Stegostoma tigrinum: one gene and its partner. The protein of the gene in region 2 purifies or fractionates together with the protein of the main gene of each other region. This does not show direct contact. Links are inferred from orthologs where the notes say so. Each region holds a gene or a part of one and is shown on either strand. Other genes may lie near its edges.

What was found. The genes of interacting proteins can lie anywhere in the genome.
Region 1: the proteins of hspbp1 (region 2) and edrf1 purify together in Homo sapiens (affinity purification with mass spectrometry; 3 studies listed by BioGRID and IntAct, counting the BioPlex papers as one, with this or other methods). This does not show direct contact. The link is inferred for Stegostoma tigrinum from reciprocal best matches to the Homo sapiens genes HSPBP1 and EDRF1.

The regions. Positions count from the first base shown.
Region 1 is NC_081373.1:31,646,771-31,653,811, reverse strand, and holds the start of edrf1 (erythroid differentiation-related factor 1), read right to left. Parts: upstream 3,059-7,041; 5' UTR 2,799-3,058; coding exon 2,694-2,798; intron 1-2,693. UniProt on the Homo sapiens protein: Transcription factor involved in erythroid differentiation. Involved in transcriptional activation of the globin gene.
Region 2 is NC_081391.1:14,492,762-14,499,905, forward strand, and holds the start of hspbp1 (hsp70-binding protein 1), read left to right. Parts: upstream 1-4,077; 5' UTR 4,078-4,234; intron 4,235-7,144. UniProt on the Homo sapiens protein: Inhibits HSPA1A chaperone activity by changing the conformation of the ATP-binding domain of HSPA1A and interfering with ATP binding. Interferes with ubiquitination mediated by STUB1 and inhibits chaperone-assisted degradation of immature CFTR.

The DNA.
Region 1 (7,041 bases), on a different chromosome or scaffold from region 2:
AAATAACCTCTAACAATAACCTTAACCCAGATAATGGCAGCAAATATATGGGAACACTATTATCTGCAATTTCCCATCCAATCCATGCCCCATCCTGACTGGAATATATACCATTTCAGTTCTATTGCTCAGTCAAAATGTTGGAATTCCCTTTCTAACAACACTGCAAGTGTACTTACATTTGTAACAGTTCAAGCAGGCAACATTCACAGTTCTTCCCAAAGTTGATCAGCACAACAACTGTTAGCCTTGCTTGTATTGGAGGCAATTGTCATCATCTAAAATTCTTGAGATCAATTTTAAAATCTAGGAGGTGGTAAAGTGCATTGTTGAAAGATACAACACTTTTCTCCAAGCTTTCATTGAGCTTCACTGGAACAGCATGGACTGCAGAATTAAAGCGACAGGTGATGCTAAGTTCAGAGTCTCATTTCTAAACTGAAAGATTGCATTCCTCAAAAAGTCACCTAATCTGTATTTGGTTTACCAAATGTAAGAGGTATTTTATCAAATGCACAAAATGTAGGTTAAACATCTGAAAGAATAAATCACTGTTCCACTGGCAGAATGTTTTTGGTATCTATAATGTGAAGGGTGGAAGAGGCAGATGTTACATCCCCTATGTTTTTAACAGAACGTGCCATGGGAAGGGGGAGGCAGAATGCAAAGTGAACCTCTGGACTGGAAAAAGGGAAGCATTTGCTGACATTACAAGGAGCAGAAATTGCAGATAAATCTGTTGAATGGGCAGGCTGGAGTTAAGAGGAGTCCTGCTGTAGTACTGGAATGGCTGAGAGGAAACAGACAGATACTGTTTAAGATCCTAACAACCAGAATGAAGGGAAATCCCACAATAGAGGAAGTAATGGTTCAGAGGTGGCATAATCAGAACAGGCAAGCAGCAGCACAGAAGATACAAGAAAGGAAGCAGGATTGTAGGGAGTGTAGTCACGTTGACAGTTAGAGTCTGAGAGAGCACAATAGGAACTGTTTGGTAGCCTATCACCTGAAACAAAACAAAGTAGTTAAGGAACACTGGGAGCTGAAGGGCAGGGAATGGTGGAAACACGAAACAAGGTTGATTGCCTAGAGCTGAAAAATTCAACAGTAGGAAATACCAATTGCACCATCAATACACAGAAATAGATCTGCTGGAGGGGCTCCCTAATTGTACTATAATAAAGAATATGCCACATATCCCATGAAAAGACAGATAGGGGCCATTCTCATGTATGAATACTCATTTTACTTAGGACAAGTCAGTGAAATTGAGGGAAACTAGTACAAAATTGACGAGTGCAGGCAGGCAGAGAGAAGTGTTGGTGAATAGGGACAGATTACTTCTTGTTTGAATGGAGGCCCCACAAGCCCTCTAGCCCCCTCAACTTGTCCCTCAGAACTGGATAGGCGGGTGCTTAGTTGCATTATTCTCCATTAGTGGAAACTGCAAGTGGCTGCGAGCATCAAGAGTCACAAATACAGACATCAGAAGGTCAGACAAAAGGATAAACTGGAATATGAGCTGTGAAAACAAGGAATCAGATGAGTGGAGTAAAAACCAGATGAAACAATAACTGTACGTGGGTGGCCGTAATTGTGGATCTTCAAAAGGGGGCAGAAGATTTTGTGCTGGTTACAACTGCCGATGCTGAAATCAGAGATAACACAGTATGGAACTGGAGGAACACGGCAGGCCAGAATTTTCTGAAGAAGGGTCCTGACCCAAAACATCAGCTTTCCTACTTGATGCTGCCTGGCCTGCCGTGTTCCTCCAGTTCCATACTGTGTTATCAACTTGCAGGGCTGTGGGGGATAGAGTAGGGAAATTATAGTCGCTCAGAGATCCAACATGATTTTGATAGACTGCCTTGCTCCTGTGCCGTGATAACTGAGATCTGATCTGATCTTTCTTTCTTGGTCTCCAGTTTTGTAATTCCCAATCGCACAAAATTCTCTAAGGTAGTGTGGAGCTGGAGGAACACAGTATGGAACTGGAGGAACATGGCAGGACAGAATTTTCTGAAGAAGGGTCCTGACCCAAAACATCAGCTTTCCTACTTGATGCTGCCTGGCCTGCTGTGTTCCTCCAGTTCCATACTGTGTTCCTCCAGCTCCACACTACCTTAGAGAATTTTGTGCGATTAGGAATTACAAAACTGGGGACCAAGAAAGAAAGATCAGATCAGATCTCAGTTATCACGGCACAGGAGCAAGGCAGTCTATCAAAATCATGTTGGATCTCTGAGCGACTATAATTTCCCTACTCTATCCCCCACAGCCCTGCAAGTTGATTTTCCTCAAGTCTTCATGGAACTTCCTTTTGATGTCATCTTTCATTTGAGTACAACATCCTCAAAGGCAGCATTTCCATGACCATAAATTGCATTTCAAAAGTTGCAACTCAAAGCAACACACCCGCACCATTCCTATCGCTAAAACTTTCAACGCATCCCCTGGTTTCTAAACTACCGGGAGCAACTGGCAAATGGTCATTTCGAGGGCCTTCTGTGCTTTGTGTCCTTGGAGAAGTAACCGGGATCCTCCGGGATTGTGGATAAGGGAGGGGTGGTGTCAATAACTGACGAGGGCTACATCCAGGTGAACAGCAGGGTTGGAGATGGAGGCTCGACCAATGAGGAGTCTCAAAATTTAAAACAAAAAGTTCGAGAAAGCACAAAGGACCTCCTACCTACCTGTTTCAAGTCACAAGTTTCCCTGCTGTTACTGCTACTCTCTCTGACTTCAGCCTTTCGAGGGGCAGAACCACTGGCTGCGGCCGCACACTCCCTTCCCTCCATGGTTACTCGGCAGCGTGGGGGAGACGGGCCACTCCGGGCAAAAACATGAACCGGCTTCTTGCCCAGAACGTTCTAGAAGTCATTACCAAACAAGTGGGACAAGAAACGAGGTTAAACGCGGCGCTGTCGAACACAAAGGCGAACGGGAGTGTTTTCCTACCCTCGTGGCGGCAGCAGCCGGGGACGGTCACTACCGGCACCCCCCACCCCCTTGCCCCAAGCAGAGGCGAAGCACCAGTAGTGTCACCAGAAACTTCTGCCGGAAGTGCCGCAATCCAGTTTCCGGCAACGCGCGGAGTTCCGTTAGAAACGGTCAGAGCTCGGAAAAGAGAGGGAGATGGTTGCTTCGTTGCTGACGGCAATCTCTTGTACATTCGTTACACCTATCGCACTTATTGGAGAGGAGGCATCCGCCAGAAGCACCCCAATACACATGCAGGAAAGAAAATGTTTTCATTTTGGCTTTCGCTGCCTGGCGATCTATGCCCCTCACCTCGCCTATCTCAAAGCGTTTTATTCTCTAATCTAACAGAGTGGGGAAAGTTGATTCAGTAGTCATAATGGTGGAGAGAACGTTATATCTGGATTTCGGTGGCAGGTACAAAGCCATATGTCAAACGTATGACGTCTTGTTGAAAGCAACATTTGTTAATTTCAGGGATCAATTCTCTGCAAACAAATGAGTTCAAGTCTTGTACCTTTTCTGAATTACCTGGGCGACGAGGGAACCTGAGCTCCTTGTTTTTTTCCATGGCAACACCCTGGACATCAGAGATGTTTTGCCATATTCCTCCTGTAGCATAAGCTGTTGTCATCATTTGAAGGTTGGCTTTCTTGTGTCGACCCTGGAAATGGAAGACAAAGCGAAACATAAACAGCAAGTCCCGCTGTTCATCAATATTCAAGGTCTTTATAATTTAAAAAAAAGTATGTGATTAATATTATTCCTAATGAATCTCATTTGTTTATTTTGATGCCAGCACATGTTTATCCAAAAGTACTGCAAATGTTTAGAAGTTTGTTTAGCTATGTTCAGAAGTTAATTCCACATTTTACGCAAAAATATATGTATTTCACCAAATGCTTCATTTTGTTCTGAATTTGTAGCATCAAGAAAATAGAAAATTTTATAGTAGTGTTTAAATATTCCTGAAATGTAGTGCAACCCATATAGTGGAAAATACCTATGATTTCAGCGCACAGTTGATCCTTCTGCTCATTTTCACTAAAGGGTAGTATGTTGGTGAGATAAGCATTGGGGTTTAGATGTTCCAGGAATGTTAATATCTGCTATTTCTGTTGAGACGAATAAAAGATACATAACTTTTTAAAAATTCAAAATACATGGCTGATGAAAAACTGCAGCGAAAACAAACTACAGAAAATGATTATGCAATCTGCTGATAATTCAACTATTAAAACAGTAAATGTTGGCAATTATGTAGTTGGTCAGACAGCATTCTCTGTAGAGATTAGTGACCTATCATCAGGACACAATATTTTACAATCATGCTTGAAATTAGTCAGTAATTTGAATTAATCAACACAAATGGAGCAAAATGGGAATTCAGTGATGAAAATGAGAATTAAACATTTAGAATTGAACAAATTTGAATCAAGGGCGAACTACCCTTGATTCATGTATTCAAAATATTTCATGGGAATGCCAAGGATAAAATATTTACTTAATTATTAACATGTATTAAATTGCAGATAAAACAATAAAGAGCTTCTTTGAAAAATAAAGAATCTGTTGCTTTTAAAGAGAGGTGGGCACCTTGGCGGGATACTGTGCTTTATTTCCCTCTCCACCTCCATTTTGGTTTTGTCTCTTCCCTTTCTCCCTACCTCCCATCTTCACTTTTGAGTGTATGTATTGCCCATAATGGGCTTTGCTTGTATATATTTAATTAACTACATGGCAGTTGTGGTGCAATGGTAATGTCCCTATCTCTGAACCAAGAGGCCACAGCTCACGTTCCACTTGTTTCAGAGGTGTGTAAAATCATTGCTGAAAAGGTTGATTAGAAAATATCTAAAGAGTTTGTCAGATGTGCTCTCATAACACAGTGCTAATTTCTCTACTTTTGCACCAGGAGGCCTGGGTTCAAGTCCCACCTGCTCCACAGGTGTGTCATTAACATCTCTGAACAGTTGATTAGGAAAACATAATAAAGGGCCTCTGTTTATATTTTTGCCTGGGTGCCATTGGAGACAGAGCACATAGTGTCCACCAATGTTCCCAATGCCTTTAGAAACAGGTGGTACCCTGAGGGCTTCAGTGCTGTATTTCCCCCTTCCTGTTCTCCCTACCATTCCCTCACTTCTGATGGTTTGCATTGTTCGTGATAGGCTTTGCATGTAAATATCAGATTGGTTGTACAGGTGACTTATTGGTGGTGGTTAGTAGTTGGAAAAATTGTCAGTGATTTGGTGGTGGGAAAATCATTCGATTTTGTGTGTAAGGACACTTCTGGCGATATATATATATTACAAAAGTAGCCTCTATAAATTATGCAAAATCGCAATTATGCAACAGCTTGTTGCATTTTTACTGGGCACTATTTACAAATAGAATGATAGCTCTTACAGGACAGAAGTAGGTCATATGGTCTGATATGTCTTTGTCAATTTTTGAAATAACTTCAATTTAGACACACCAGTTCTTCTGCCAGTAAACCTGAAAATTAATCCAGCACATGTCCGGTTATCTCTTAGAAGTGCTAAAGGGATTTGCTTCCACCACTGTTTCAGGGTGTGCATTTCAGATCCTAACAAGTCTGTAGGTTTTATTCCCCTTTAGACTTTGCGACAATTACTTTAAATCTGTCAGATCTTGTCATTGCTTCACTTGCCTGAGGATCCACATGACTGAGGTTCCTTTTCATTTGTATAATTATGGTTCCATACAAATTGGGAACAGGTAACATTAACATTATACCTTAAACATTGTTTTGGGGGTTTGACCGTACAGTTCTAAAACCCCGTGTGTGTGTGTGTGTGTGGGTTGTACACTAAGGACTTAACTGTGTTAGATCCAGACTGCTCATAATTGTCTTGAGAACTTTTTCGACATATAATTGGAATGTCAATTCAGCCAGATCTTAATTGTTAATCCATTTTGAATGAAGAACTCTGTTAACTTCTCCATCATTAGCTTGGCAGAAATTGTTCTCAAGGAATTAGCATCTGGAAACAAAGCAGTCAAACCATAAAAGTACAGATATACTGGTTTCTCACTCCTGTTTTCAGTAGAAGACACTCACAGTTTACCAGCACCCCAAAGATTGATTACCCAAAAAACAGTACAGGAATTAGTCTGAGATAATGGGAACTGCAGATGCTGGAGAATCCAAGATAACAAAGTGTGAAGCTGGATGAACACAGCAGGCCAAGCAGCATCTCAGGAGCACAAAAGCTGACATTTTGGGCCTAGACGCTTCCTCAGAGAGGAAATTAGTTTTGCTGGTTTCTTTTCAGCTGTGGTTTTCCTACAATCTAGCTATTATGACACATTTTTTAAAAAAAAAAGTTCTTTTGAAGTCCTGGCAAGGGAAATGTCATCTTATTCAGGTTTGGTTTTTCTGGATCCTTACATGTCTTATTTCGGAATTTAATTGGCTATCCTTAATATCTCCTGATGATATTTGAGCAGCATCACTATCTAGTGAACCATCTATCTTCATTCACAGGTCTGTGAGAATGTCTCTATTTCCAAATTAGAATCATATTTTTAATATTCTAGTATTCTGGAAATGCCTCTGCTTAAATTTTGGTTTGTGCTGAATATGCTTCTTAACTCTGGATTGACTTGCTGAACCTTGATCGAAGAAGACTTATAAACATTTTTTTCAGATTATTCAAATCCCCAAAGTTTCAGAAAGCCTAACACCCGTTGCGCCAAATTGGCTTCCAACATTTAAATTTGTTTAGCCATTGTTCAGGTCAGTATACATGAAGGCAAAAATCCTGGAATCTTTTCCTGCAACTGCTTTCTGTTTTTATTGAAGAAGCTACTATGTTACCGCTGGCAAATCATTCCCAAAGTATAATAATGTGTTTACCTATCTCATTTGATAAGGAGCTGCTTTTCTTTTCAACAAGCATTCCCTGTAGCTCTTAGGTAACTAATTCACTTTCCCTGCACCCACAGTAATACTGCTAGTATCTGGCTTCACAACTGCACCCAGAGCCACAACTTGGTCTGTTATACTCATGGTAAGGGTCGTTTTTTCTGCATAAA
Region 2 (7,144 bases):
CTCTGAAGCTCGAGAGAGTCTGGAACTCACTGTGTGAAAGGGTAGTTGATCCAGGTACTCCTGTAACTTTTAAGCAGTATTTATTCATTAACTGTTCATAATCACTCTCATCTAGAAGGGCAAAGGCAGCAGACACATGGGAGTACCATCACTGACAAGTTCCCCTCCAAGCTACTCACCATCCTGACTTGGAACGTTATCGCTGTTCCCGTCTGTCTTGCTGGAGCTCTTGCAGCTTTAACTGTGCGATTACCTTAGGAACACAGGAATAGGCCATTTGGCCCCTCAAGCCTGTTCTATCATTCAACGAGATTATCCTTCATTTATCCCTCCCCCTTGGTCTATAGAAATGCTTCCTAACATCTCTCCTGAGTGGTCTGACCCGCCATCTCAGCTTATGTACCGTAGTTTTAAAGCCCTGACCCTGTGTAAACATCATATCTTTATCTACCCTGTCTTTTCCTGTGGGTATCTTGAAGATTTTGATTAGATCACCCCTTAACAGTTTAAATTCTAGACAAAACAGAGTTAATTTGTAAAACGTCTCCTTGTTGCTTAAACCCTGAAGTCCGGGTATCATTCATGTAAATCTTACACTCCCTCCAAGGCCATTATATCCTTCCTACAATGTGGTGCCTAGATCTGTTCAGAGTACTCCAAGTGCGGTCTAATCAGACTTTGGTTTGACTTCAGCATAAATTCTGCATCCTCAAACTCCTGTACTCCAGACATAAATGTCAGCATTCCTGTTGCTTTTTTGATTATTTTCTGCACCTGTTCAAGATATGCACCTGAGCACCCCCCCCCCCCCCCCCCCCCGGTCTCTTTGGACATCCACTGTAGTTAATTTCATACAGTCTAGAAAGTACCCTGATCCATCTATGGGTGGCATGGCTATACAATGGTTAGTACCACTACCTCACAGCACCAGGGATCCTGGTTTGATTCCAGCTTCAGGTGACTGTCTGTGTGGAGTTTGCGTATTCTGTCCTTGTCTGCGTGGGTTTCCACTGGGTGCTCCAGTTTCTTCTCACAGTCCAAAGATGTGCAGGTTAGGGTGGATTGGCTGTGCTAAATAGCTCGTGGTGTCCAGGACGACACAGTATGGAGCTGGAGGAAAACAGCAGGTCAGGCAGCATCAGAAGAGCAGGAAAGTTGATGTTTTGGGTGTGGACCCTTCTTCAGAACTGGGGAGTGGGAAGGAAGCTGGGAAATACATAGAGGGAGGAGGGTTGGGGCTGGGGAAAGGTAGGTGGGATGGTGATAGGTGAATGCAGGTAGGGAGTAGTGGGGTTTGGTCAGTGAGGTGGGTAGGGTGGATAGATGGGAGAGAAGATGGACAGGTTATTGTCAAGTCAAGGAGGCAGGAGGGAGGATAGGTAGGGCTGGGGAAGGTAGGTGGGGTGGTGATAGGTGGATGCAGATGGGGGTAGTGGGGATTGGTTGGTGGGAAGTGTAGGGAGAATGGGTGGGCAGGTTGTATCAGGTCCATGGAGGTGGGGATGAGAGGGGAGGGTTGGACATGGGATGAGGCCAGGGTAGGGGAGATTTTAAAACTGGTGAATTCCATGTCTAAGCCATTAGGCTGTAGGCTTCTGATGTGGAATATGAGGTGCTGCTCCACCAGTTTCCGGGTGGCGTCATTGTGACATTGGAGGAGGCCCAGGATGGACATGTGATCGAGGGAGTGGGAGGGGGACTTAAAATGGTTCATGACTGGAAGGTTTTATCATTTGTCACGTACAGAGTGCAGGTACTCCTCGAGTCTGCGCTTGGCCTCACTGATGTAGAGGAGGCTACATCGGGAACATCAGATACAGTAGACCAAGTTGGAGGATGTACAGGTGAACCCCTATTGGATATGAAAAGTTTGCTTTGGGTCTTGGATGGAGGTGAGGGGGGAGGTTTAGAGGCAGGTGTAGCACTTCCTGTAGTAGCAGGGAAAGATGGTGGGGCTAATGGGGAGTTTGGAGTGGATGAGGGAGTTGCAGAATGAGCAGTCTCTACTAAGGGCACAAGATATGGGGAGGGAAATATCTCTTTGGTCTTGGAATCGAATTGTAGGTGGCAGAAGTTGTGGGGAATGATGCTTTGCATGCAAAGGTTGGTGGGGTGATGTGTGAGGAACAGAAGGATGCTGTCTTTATTTTGTTGGGAGGAGGGGGTTTGAGGGCAGAAGTGTGGGAATGGCAAGAGATGTGGTTGAGGGCATTTTTGATCACTGGAAAGGGCAAGTTGCTGTCCTTGAAGTAGAAGGACATCTGAGATGTCCAGGAGAGGAACGTCGCATCTTGAGAGCAGATGCGGCAGAGACGGAGGAATTGGGAGTATGGGATCGCAATATTGCGGGGGGGAAGGGGTTGGTGAGAGGAGGTGCAGTCCTGGTAGCTATGGAGTTGATGGGTTTGAAATAGATGTCAGTGTTGAGGCGGTTACCAGAGGTGGAAATGGAGAGGTCCAGGAAGCGGATGGAGGTAACAGAGATGGTTTAAGTGAATTTGAGGTTGGCTGGAAGGTGTTAGCAAAGTTGATGAGCTGTTCAAGCTCTTAGTGGAACACTATCTGCATAGTGTCTGGGAATGTGTAGGCTAGATGGGTTAGCCATGCTAAATTTGGGATTATGGGGTGGGGGGGGGTGTTCTGGCTGGAATATTGTTTGGAGGGTTGGTGCAGATTTGATGGGCTGAAATGGACTTGATTTTCTGCACAGTGGGGATTCTACGTTTCTATCCCTTTTTGGTCAAAAATGGATAACCCTACTCTTATAATGAACTCCATCCGCCACAGTTTATCAATATTCCTTTGTAATTTAATGCTGTTGTCTATGCTGTCCACAATGCCACCTAGTTTGTGTCATCATCAAATTTGGATATGACTTTCAATGCTATTGTTTAAGTCATTAATAAATAATGTAAATAATCGAGGCCTAAACATAGGTCCTTCTGGGACATCACTGGTTAAATGCTGTCAAATTGAGTGTCTACGCATAACCTCTACATTTTGTCACCTGCCACTCAGCCAATTTCCTGGCCATATCAGTAATTTGACCTCCGTTCCCTAAGCTTCTTCCTCTTCACCTCCTCCACCATGCTATAACATGCCTTCTCCACACAGATTGCAGAGTTTCCAGAAAACAATTCATCATATCTCTTTTATGACTATTTACAGATGGGCAATAAATGCTGGTTTGGCCAGCAACACCCACACACTGTTAATGAATAAGCAAAAAAAAGGTTTAATTACTTGGCAAAGATCATGACACATAGCACCAGAAGCAGAACATTTGCTTCTTCTCTGTTGCACCATTCAATAAGATTGTAATTGATCTGATAATCCTCAAGTCTACTTTCCTGCCCTATTTCGTAACCCTTGATTCCCCTTCTGCCCCCTCAGCTTTGAACATACCAACCCAACATCAACAGTCCTCTGCGGGAATTAAAATACTGTCTGACAGAAGAAATTCCTCATCTCTGTATTCAATGGAAGATCTCTTACTCTTGCCTTTGGTCCTGACTGTCACACAAGGGGAAACAACCTCTCAACACATACCCTGTCAAATCACCTCAGAATCTTATGTTTTTCATTAAGGTTTTTGTCATTGTTCTGAAGTCCAATAGGTACAGTCCCAACACAATCTCTTCTCATAATATCAGTTATCAACTTTGTTTGTATGGCGAGAAAGTAAAATATTTAGATGAGCACACAGGCTAAGTGCAGCAAAATAGGATTAGAATAGGTAGATATGATGAGTTCATGGCCTTTATTTGAGTTGTTAAAAACTCCATTGCTTTGTAATTTGGAGCATCAAAGTCCAGTGTCTCCCTATTGTTTATAATAAAAATAACTGATGATTTGAAACAAAAACAGAAACTGTTGAAGAAACACCATTTCTGGCACCATTTGTGGACAGAAAACAAGGCTTTACGTTTTAGTTTCATTGAACCTCCCTGCCTCTGGCTTCAGTGAGATAAAGGCCTGAGGGGGCTGGTGGGTTTCAAAGATGGCGGCGCTCAGATGGCAACACACGCAGCCAGTTGCCCCGCAGTGGCGTCACGTCCGGCACCCTGACGCCACAAGGCAACCGTGGCGCAACGTCCGGCAAGATGGTGGCGCCCATGGGCTGAATGCGCTGGAAGAATCTGGAAAGGTGGAGAAGCTTCGGTGCGGTCGGCAGCGGCAGGAGGTGGCTGCACGGCCGGGAAGGTGACCGGGCCAAGAGGTCGTGGAGATCGGGGTAAGTGACCTCTCCCTGTCCGGTAACAGTGCATTGAAACGGGATTGGGAGCCTGTGGAGGTTTAAGGGAGAGCAGGATGTGGGGTGTGCGACCATTTCGAGGCGTCTTGTTGACTTGGGGGGGACGGTGGGTGAGGAAACGATTCCTCTCAGTATGGGCCTGGTTTTTGGAGCGGAGCAGAGCGCCATTTCTGCGGCGAACCCCTCCCCCCTTTCCCTGGGGATGGTTTCTGACCGAAACCTCAACTCCGTCTCTTTCCCCACAGATGACACCAGCCCTGCTGAGCTTTTCCAGTTTCGGGCTCTCAGCGTCCGCAGTCCGTTATTTCAGGCACAGTGCGTCTCCACACTGACCTCGTTGATCAGGAGCATCAAAGCAGCACGTTGCTGTCTCTGCATTGAGGATCGTTCTTATTGAATCCGAATGGGTTTCGTTTTGGCAAGGAGGGTGATATGTAACATTTGGAAGCCTTGTTGAGGCCATACATGTAATGTGAACACGGGTGGTCCATAAGGCAGTCGTCTTTCCTAAGGACGGAGAGGTATTCTTAATCTGTTCAGACATGATATAACCCCTCTGGAGGAGTGGGAGTTGATCCTGGGCTTCAAGAGCATTTTCCTCCTTATCCCCACGGAGGGATATATTTTACAGCTTTTTGTAGCTTTTAGGCTATAAACTGAAGTCGGGAAAAGGGACCTTGTGCTCACAGGCATATCATCCACAATCTTGCTGAATGGCAGTGCAGGTTTGAGAGGCTACTTTTCTTTCTTAGGCAGCTGTCCCATTCCTAGTGGCTGTGTATAGCAAGTGGCTGAGAAATGTACACTTGTGCGATAGTCGTAGTGTCCCTGTGGACCAGGAGGCATGGTTCAACACTCGTTTGCTTTAGAAGTGTGTAATAACATCTCTGAACAGGTTGATTTGAAATTATATAACAATTGTTTGCGGTTGGTCTGAACAGATGACTTTTTTTCTGAAATCGAAATAGTTTTTTTACCCTAATATTCTGGTTGGGTTCTACCCTTGAGATGCTAAAGACCCAGGCAAAACAGATGAAACTCATGATGAATTTGTACAAGGGATTCAGAGAGGCAGGTTCAATGTTGAATGAATAATTGGAACTGAACTGGGAAGAACCAATAGAACAAATTCTGAGAAACAGGGGCCTTGCATTTAAAATTGAAGGATGTTCTGTTTTAAAGTGTTTAAGATGTTAAAAATAATTAGGATCGATAGAGAGCAGCTGTCTTTGGGGGAAAACAGGGACAAAGCTCAGTGGTTGTGTATTTTTTGCCTTGTGGGCCAAATTTCCTTGTGAAATCACGGTCTGTGCTTCCACCAATCTCATAGGCAGTGAGTTCCACATCATTACCCCTCAAAACAGAAAAAATAGTTTATTTCTCAAATTTACTTTGCATCGCTTACCTGAAACCTTTAATTGGTGCCCCTTCATCTTTATAAAATCAGCTGATGAGAACAGCTCCTCTTTTTCCACCTTACTTGTTATAATTTTGTACTCTTTCATCAAAATTTTCCTTGATTATCTTTGATAGTTTGTTTAGCTTAGGCGTATGGCCCAAAAAGCTACTAAAATCATTTCAATTCCTCCATTAGAGCAAATCTTTATTTGATGTTTTCTGTAGCTTGGGTAGCCCTGAGTTATGTCTTGCCTCTTGAAGATGCATTTTTAACTGCCAGGATTCTATGCGTATGTCAAAATGTGGAAACAAAATGTAGGCACATAGTATTTTTTAAAAAAATATTTTGTAGGATGTGTGTGTTGCTGGCAAGGCCATCACTTATTGCCCATTCTGAATTTCATTTGAGTTCGTGCTGGTGAGCGGCTGCCTTAAATTGCTGTAATCCACTTGGTATTGGGAAGGGAATTCCAGGATATTGAACCAGCCACAGTGAAAGAATGCAGATATGATTCCAAGTCAGGACAGTGTGTGGCTTAAAATGAGCTTGCAGGTGGTGGTGCTCCTTTGCCTCAGCTGCCTTTGTCATGCAAGGTGCTGGGGATTGTGGTTTAGGTGGGTGATGCCGAAGGTACCAAAATGAGTAGCTGTATCATCTTGTAGGAGGTGAGTGGTTACACTAGTGGATGGGGCACCACCATCTGGTCGATGATGATCTTTTCAAGTGTAATTGGAATTGCATTTGTGTTTGAAAGAATAGAATAGACCTTTCTGTCACATATACTCAACATGGAGAGTGAAAAATTTATACATTGCCAATTACAGCACTGACTTAGATACAAAAGTACCTTGTAACAAAAAAACTGTGCCAAGATTTTAGATAATACTGAAAAGAGTTCAGTACAGCAGACCACACTGGCACTTAGCTTCCAGTATGCACTGGGCTCTGGCTCCACACTGCGCTGGCGACACGCTGCATTGGGAAGTCGCAGCAGGAGGCCCCACAGGACAAGACTGCTGTGCCAGGCTGGGAGTTTGCTATGCTGCATGAGCTCGAAACATTGCAGTGCCAGGCGGCGAGGTCCCTATGTTAGGAGGTCACCATGCTATGCCAGGGGGCCCATACAGGAGGAAGTTACCTCGCCAGTGCTGGGAGTTTGCCAGGCTGGGGAATGTCGCTCCTTGCAGACGCCAGGAGTCAAAGCAAAAAAAAAAGAAGAAAAGAAGCACTAGGAGGAGAAAAGAAGAGCAGGTGGAGTGGACGAGCATCCTACTTTGCCATCTTGCAACAGCAAAAAAAAGTGGACAGTATTCTGTCACACTCCAGGTGGTGCACAGATTTTGAGGAGTTGAGAGATGCGTTATTTACCTTTGAATCTTTAGCTGCTGGGTTGCTGTTGTGGCCACAGTATTTGAATGGCTGGTCCAATTCAGTCTCTGATCAGAGGTTAATACCCCACATCACCCTGCCCTCTCTTGACTGGTGTGCAG